Linked DNA regions of Callithrix jacchus. The protein of the gene in region 2 interacts with the protein of the main gene of each other region in a pairwise test. Links are inferred from orthologs where the notes say so. Each region holds a gene or a part of one and is shown on either strand. Other genes may lie near its edges. The genes, in order: PARVA and MOCOS.

Region 1 (3,812 bases), on a different chromosome or scaffold from region 2:
GGACACTGCTAGGAGAAGCATGCCCCCTGTGCTCCCAAATGCACGCGCACACTCCTAGCATGACTGCAAGGGCTGCAGGAGCACTTGTTCCTTCTGCATTTCCCCAGTCTTCCATTTACAACCCAAACCCCACATAGCAAGCCCTATCCTCAGGCAGCATCTGAGCAGGCGGAGCTCCACTCCTGTCAGGATAGTAGAAGCAGTTTTGCTCAGCACAGAACTGTCTGCGCTGCACCTTCACCTTGACTGGCAGGGACACAGCTCTTTGGCAGGTCAGCACCCTGTACAGGGACAGAAAAACCTGGAAATCGGGCACAGGACAGATCCTGCAGCAGCACTTCTGCTCGCGCCCTGATCCCCGCAATCCCATATGCACGGCATGTGTGGGATTTGATTCTTTTCTTCCCCTGGCTGTGCAGTTGGCATCTCACAAAGGGTCTCCCAAGACCGAGCAGCTGCACCAAGCCCCACCTTCCCCAGCAGTGGAGGCTTCAGAAAATGCTTCCCTCTGCTACAAAATCTGAGTACTTGCATGCAGGGAGAGGGTCTCATTCTGTTGTCACAAACTCAGGAAAGAGCAAAGTACCTTCTGGCCGTGGTTTTGGCTTTTCCAACCCTCCGTCTTGCATGAGCTCAAAGGCAAAGGAGACATTCAAGACCTGGCAAGAGAAATGCCGAAAGTATGCGCCATTGCACACCCAGGAGCCCTGGGACCTGACCTCGGGAAGTGAAGGAGCCTAGCACTGTAGCTAGAGGGGCAGTGGCAGAACTAATTTCAAGGAAAAATATGGCTACCTAAATGGGCAGGCCACAAGGAAAGTGAGCTAGCTTATCCTAGCTTACTATTGGAGAAGCTCAAAACCCTCTTCATATCCTACTGTGTTCCTGTGTAAACTGCCAGGACTTCAAACTGGGGGTGTCAGCGCACACGTTGGGAAGAATCAGATGGCAGGACACGTTCAACAGGCAGAGCAGGCTTTCTGCTGTGGACCAAATGCCTGTGTGTAGTGAGGAGGATGTGGCAGCCTAGGAGAGGCCATCAGAACCAGGCTAAGTGTGAGCCTCAGGTATGACCAGCTTCATAGCCACTTTCCTTGTCATCTCTGCGGAGAGATGAGTCAGGGCTGGGGCACTTGACAGGAACACAGGGCAGGGGACCAGGGCCAGGCTTCAAGGGAAGGGAGAGGCAGTCAGGGATGCCCAGTGGTCTGCAGGTAGCTCCTTCCCAGCTCAGCTCTTATCATAATGGGCCCCACCTCCAGGCACTGAAGACCTTGGACAGAGGGGAAGCTCTGCCTTTTTCTGGATAGCCTCAGTGTGGGTGTGGGCAGATGAGCTGGGGATGTGGGCTAGAGGGCCTCCCTTGATGTCCTTCTACTTACCTTCTGTTCGAAGCTGTCCGGGGTCAGGAAGAAGCTGTGCAGGGGCACAAAGTAGCCCTCCAGGAGCCCCATAAGCAGCACCAGGTATACCCCATCTGCAAACTGGAGGGAGAGCCAGCTGATGGCACTGGCCCCTCAGCCTCCCAGCCAATCCCCATCCAGGGGGCCCATCAGCTTCCGTGCTATGCCACCTGAAGCCTACCACCCTAGGCAGGCTGCTAGCTGGGGGATAGGGGAGGTGGCCTGAGACAAGGAGGTCCGCTCTGCCCCATGTCTGGCTGGCCCAGCACAGGAGCCACAAACCCATGGCTCTGATTTTAGCTGACCCAGCATTTACTGAGCAGAGGCTGTGTACCAACTCCCTGTCTAGGCATGGGGACCAGAGTGTGGGGGGTCAGAGTGGCTCCTGCCCTGGAGGAGTGGACAGTCTAATCGGGAAACGTGTGGGGGCAATGCACAGCTGCTCCGATGGAAGGAAGCACGGTGGCTTGAGTGGGGTTAAGAAAAGTCACCCATAAGCACCGAAGGCATCAGAGGAGTCTTCCGGAGGGGAAAGCATCTAAGTCGAGGGCTCAGGAAGAGCAAGACTGACTAGAGTGGGGCAGAGGGAGGAGGGGGAGGTGATGTCCACAGTGAATGGCATGAGGCTCCTGGGGTGATCTGTGCTTTCCGAACAGAGAAAGGCCAAGTGTCACACAGGCCTAGGCACTCTTCTTTCTCCCATCTCTCTTCAGTATTACAGCAGCAGAGGGCAGCTGTTATGAATGTGGGCTCTGAGGTCCAGCCTCCCCAGTGCAAATTCCAGCTCTCTCACCTACCAGCTGTGTGCCTTGGGCAAGTTATGTCACTTCTCTGTAATCACATCTCTCATCTGTGAAACCGGGATGGTAATAGTATAGTATCTACATCACAGAGTTATCATGAGGACCAAGCCAGTTAATACATGGACAGGGCCTGTAAACTGCTTAGTGTGCAGTATTGAACAAATATTAACTATTGCTATTACTGTGTGGGAAAACAACAAAGCAATCGGGACACGACTTACTGGCTCTTGCTGGCAGATGTAGAACTATGTGCTGAGGGCCCTGGCAAGAGGCTTGGAGCCCGGTCCCTTCCTAGGTAGAAGAGGCCAGATGGGTTGCGAAACCAGGCCTAAGGGACAGGAGAGTCCTCGGCTAATTGCGGAGGCTGCCGGTCTTCTGCTCAGGGCTGAGGGTGAGGTAGGCATATACTGAGCGCTCAGGGCAGGCTTGTGGAGGCCGTGGAGGCCGGGACGATGGACCTTGGGAAGAGTAGGGGGTCTATGCAAAGACACAGAGGCCAGATGTACATCAGACATTCTAGAACCCTTTCAAAGGAGCTGGGCCACCAAATGTTTGTGAGTGTAAACAGCAGCTAGGGTTCATAGAAGGCCAAATTTCTTGGAATCATCTTAGGAGCCCAGAGGCTGCTCAGAGAGCTTTCCTGGTAGCCAGCTGGCCAGGCTGTGGCTCAGCCTTCATTAAGGGCAGAAGACCCTGAGCTTGGGCTTGCCTTAAAGGCAGCTTCTGGCTGAGTGCAGTGGTTCATGCCTGCAATCGCAGCATTTTGGGAGGCTGAGGCGGGCGGATTGCTTGAACTCAGGAGTTCAAGACCAGCCTGGGCAACATGGTGAAACCCTGTCTTTACTAAAAATACAAAAAAATTAGCTGGGTGTGATGGTGCATGCCTGTAGTCCCAGCTGCTTAGGAGGCTGGGCGGGGGGTGGGAGGATCACCTGAACCTGGGAAGTCAAGGATGTAGTGAGCCGTGATCGTGCCACTGCACTCCAGCCTGGATGACGGCAGTGAGACCCTGTCTCAAAAACAAAAGGGTAGCTCCTCCCAGCTTCCATCCATCAGACCTGCAGCTCAGGTGGAAAGGGCCTGAGCTTGACTCACCCTAGGTGGACATGGGAGAGCAGACCCCAGAGTCTGTCAAAATCAAGGCCCTTATGGTGGGAGCTGAGCAACTAGGCTTCATTCCAGCAATGGTGAGAAGGAGTTAGGAGTAAAAATATCCAATCTGTGGTTAGGGTTGGGGTCACTCACAGCTCTGAGTGCCAGGCTTAGACTGCTCCCCACCTCCCCTGGCTGGTTCTGCTGACTTGGTAGGAATAGCAGATCAAACTGCAGGGACCCAAAGAGCTTGGCAGTCACCCCTGTCATAGCACTCCCTGCCCTGAGTCCATTGCAGCTCACTCAAGGAAGCATCACTTTTCTAGAACGTTCTTTATTTCCTACAAGAGTGTATGAAGCTGATTTCACAGTCTAGACAAACTCAGGTGGAGCTCAACGACAGACTGGCATTTGCCTTTAAAATAAAAGGAGGTATCCAGCTGATTAAGAGAGAAGCACAAGGCAGAAGTTCACCAAGAAAGAAAGGGGGTGGAGAAGAAGGATTCATCAGTCT
Region 2 (3,812 bases):
ACACTCTGATGAATTTTTACTTTTTTTAAGCTTTTCTTCACTTTATCAAAAAATAGAAAGAGAGTAAACAAAGAGAAGCGTTTCTGTGCTGCTGTGAAAGTCCTTACCTCGAATGCAGCACAGGATTTGATTGGATAAAGGTAAAGGTTAGTGATAACATGTGCCCCAAGGGCCCCCTCCAGGACTCCTGCAGCTTTCTCTGAAGGAGTCTGCTGGATTCTGGTGACATCACATACAGGTGGGGCCACAGGCGCAGCATTCACAGCAGTGGGTGAGTTGTTCCAAACCCTGGAGCCTGTGAGGGCATCTTCCCGAGGCGAGAGGCTATGTCTGTGCACGACAGCAGGTGCAACATCAGCCTGGCCCTCTGCTGATGGGGCTTCAGAGTCCCGGGTGTCAGCACAGGCCTGAGAGATAGGCCAGCCCCCTGATGAGTGCAGGCAGGTGTCTATGATGAACCTGAGAAAGGCCTGGGCATCGTCAAGCGTTGACATGTATCCAAATGAAATCCTCACAGATCCTGTGGGATGCCCATCAATGAGGTCCATATTGTCCCCACAGACATGACCAGCCTAGGATAAGAAAGAAATGCACCAGCCAGAGTAACCCATTTCTCATAGAGACATTGGAAACGGTTTTCAAAATAAATTTTGTCAATTTTAAAACTAACCCAGGAAAACAAAACTGAAACATTAACATGTGCTGTGTGTCTGAGACATGAGTCAGCTCCGTACACTCAGGGGACCACTTTCTGGATCTCATTTTGCTCAACTGTAAATTGAGACCAATATCAATCTCAAAGAGGCCATTAAAAAGTTTCATAGAAACACTTCATAGAAAACATTTACCTAGAGCCAGGCACAGGGCTGGCTTACAGAGGGGTCAAAACACACACTGAAGTTTCAGAAGCACCGAGGGGTTGACCTCAGGGTCTACCCGGGACTGAGATGGGAGAAACATCACTGGACACTCTCATGAGCCTGTCAGTACTGAAGGGAGGCCTGCATCCCTGAGAGCTGCCCCTTGACAACAGGGAAAGTCAGATATGCTGCCCCTGCAAATGACCAGCCTGGGGCCACTATGAAGGCCAAGGTCAGCTTGAGGGCCCCTGCTGGGAGGTGGGAAAGAAAGGCAGAAGGATCATACTCTCTGAGCCCGGCTGCCTGGTGTTGGTCACTGGTCAGCATAGTGCATGGAGCTGCCCCAAACATCTCCTCAGTGCTGGATCCGGCTCAGTCACCCGAAGAAATGGAGCCACAGCATTCCACAGGGCCAAATATTCTATCTGGAGCTGTGTTTATTTGTGTTCTGAGCCTCCGTCTCCCTCTCTCCCCTCTTCTCCTTCCTCTCCTATCTCCTCCCTCTCCTTCTCTCCTATCCCTCTTTCTTCTTAAACAAAACTCAGTTCATGGTTACTTGGGATCTAGTATATACATTATTTCAATAACATACAATATTTCATGGCAACCAAATGAAATTCAAGTTAGAAACTCAAAGCAATGAAGACTCTTTGCCATTCAAATTATTCCCAGTGCAATGGTTTAAAACAGGCTATACCTTGAAGTGAAAAACCTCAGCCCAGGGGAGAGACCGGGAGGGTGGGGATTCTGGGAGATGCAGAATCCCTGGAGCCCAAGAAGAGTTCCACTCTGCACCCAACCTGGATGCAGCTGGCTAACTGTAACCTGGAGGCTGTACCTCAGGAGGGCTGAACCAGGTAAGGCACATCCTCACACATCCCTTCTTAACTCCCCTCTCTTGCCTTTAAATGTTTGGCCTCAAAGTAAAAAACTAATCAGAAAGTCTGCAATAGAGATAATATCTTGAAGCTTATTTTATTTTATTTTAGACAGAGTCTTGCTCCATCGCCCAGGCTGGAATGCAATGGCACTGACTCGGCTTACTGCAACCCTCTGCCTCCCAGGCTCAAGCTATTCTCCTGCCTCTGCCTCCCAGGTAGCTGGAATTACAGGCACATGCCATCACGCCTGACTAATTTTTGTATCTTTAGTAGAGACAGGGTTTCACCATGTTGGCCAGGCTGGTCTTGAACTCCTGACCTCAGGTGATCCACCTGCCTTAGCCTCCCAAAGCACTGGGATTACAGGCGTGAGCTGGCACCCAGCCTTCTTGAAGCATTTTCTCTTTGTATTCCTTTTCCTTTGTACATGCACAGAGCAGGCATGGGGAAATGAGTCTGCAGCAGCAGCCCCCACTCCAGACACGCATGTAGTAACAGGTGTCACTGGGTCTCGCTGACCGGCATCTGGACCGCAGAACCCTGTACCAACCTGAAAATGCTTCCTGACCATCTCGCTGCTGATGCCCAGGTGCCTCTGGCAGGCTCCAGTGTTGCAGAAGCAGCCAGTTCGCAGATGGATGTTGTAAAGACTGGCCATTTTGTCCACCTGCAGATTTAATGTAACATAGAATAAGCTGTTACCAATGTGCAGTTTTACTCTGAGAGAGCTTCATATCGGCATTTAGACCTCTGTTTCCTAATAATAAAATAAAGATATGAGCCTGGAATTGTCCTCTAAAATGCCACGATGTACCACAGGCTTGTTAAACACTGTATAAAATGTTTCAGTGAGGCTGGAGATGGTAGCTTCTTGGCATCAGCTGCATGGTTTGGACCACAGGGTAGGCCCCGTGAAAGTGCCGTTCCAAGTAGCCCCGCCTCAGCTCGCAGCCTGGACTCCACGTGTTACTGTGTCCATGCTGAGCATGATTGATTTGCTTTTCCCACTTTCTCCAACTTTGGGTTTAATCACGGAATTGCCATTCAGTCCAGCAGTTTCCACAGCTCTTTCCTGCCCTCTGGAGGCTCTGGGAAAGGTTGGCATTCACATGAGTCCTGGGGGATGTCTGCCCCAGCTCCTCCAGGCCTGAGTCAAGGACTCCATTCCCTCAAGGGCCTGGGGGCCCAGTGAGAGTCCTTGCCCTGGTGCTCAGGCTGACTTCACAGGAGGAGCCATTGAACTGCATTCAGGAAAACAAACACATCTTGCTCAATAGTTGAGCCTTTGAACTTTTCTCCCTGGGAAGTCACATATGGGGTGGCCAGAGGTCACTGTGCGGTCAGCCAGGGATCATGGCTGGACAATGATGCCTCCCACAAACTCTTATCAAGACAGGGCAGTCTTCACCTTGGCCGTCCCCTCTGGTGTGTCAGTGAGAAGAAGCCATTCTCTGGGTTGAACTGAGAGGCTTCAGATGAACAATTCTGTTTCTTCACTCTTGGCTAAGGGTCCGCTGGCATGCAGACCTGCTAGTGAATTTAGGAGTTTCCTGGCTCTGTGAGGTGAGTCCTGGCCACCCTACTGGGCCCGGCCAACTCCATCTCCAGCATCAAGTTTAGCTTCACAAGGCAACCCTGGGGAGACCCCTGACCCCCAGTCCAGCTGCCACTAGGCTGAATTAGAATCCCTGTGGCCCCCATCGCCCACTCCCCCGTATTCAAAACCAGTTACCTTTGTTGTGAAGCAGGCCACCAAAATTAGAGATAATAAAACAATCACCATTTTATGGGGCTCATGGCTACAGTGTGGGACGAATTCAAACAGGGCACGGAGGAGATATCTCCTCTCTGTCTTAAAATGTCTGGAGTCTCAGCTAGGAAGACTCAAAGGCTGGGAGTAGTTTGGCATCTGGGGGCTGAGATCATCTGGAGACTCCTTTACTCCTGGGTCTTTCTGGTCCCCAGGCTGGGAGGGCTCCAGAATTAGGATTGCCAGCCACAGTCCTGAGCTTGGCTTCTCTGTGTGACTTGGCATCCTTGCAGCATGCATGGCAGCCTCAGGGCACAAGAC

What was found.
Region 1: the proteins of MOCOS (region 2) and PARVA interact in binary tests that used the Homo sapiens proteins (3 or more experiments, as listed by UniProt). The two-hybrid records come from large-scale screens. The link is inferred for Callithrix jacchus from reciprocal best matches to the Homo sapiens genes MOCOS and PARVA.

What each region holds. Positions count from the first base shown.
Region 1 is NC_133511.1:78,412,200-78,416,011, reverse strand, and holds part of PARVA (alpha-parvin), read right to left. Parts: intron 1,485-3,812; coding exon 1,383-1,484; intron 660-1,382; coding exon 587-659; intron 1-586. UniProt on the Homo sapiens protein: Plays a role in sarcomere organization and in smooth muscle cell contraction. Required for normal development of the embryonic cardiovascular system, and for normal septation of the heart outflow tract.
Region 2 is NC_133514.1:79,318,614-79,322,425, reverse strand, and holds part of MOCOS (molybdenum cofactor sulfurase), read right to left. Parts: intron 2,409-3,812; coding exon 2,292-2,408; intron 573-2,291; coding exon 108-572; intron 1-107. UniProt on the Homo sapiens protein: Sulfurates the molybdenum cofactor. Sulfation of molybdenum is essential for xanthine dehydrogenase (XDH) and aldehyde oxidase (ADO) enzymes in which molybdenum cofactor is liganded by 1 oxygen and 1 sulfur atom in active form.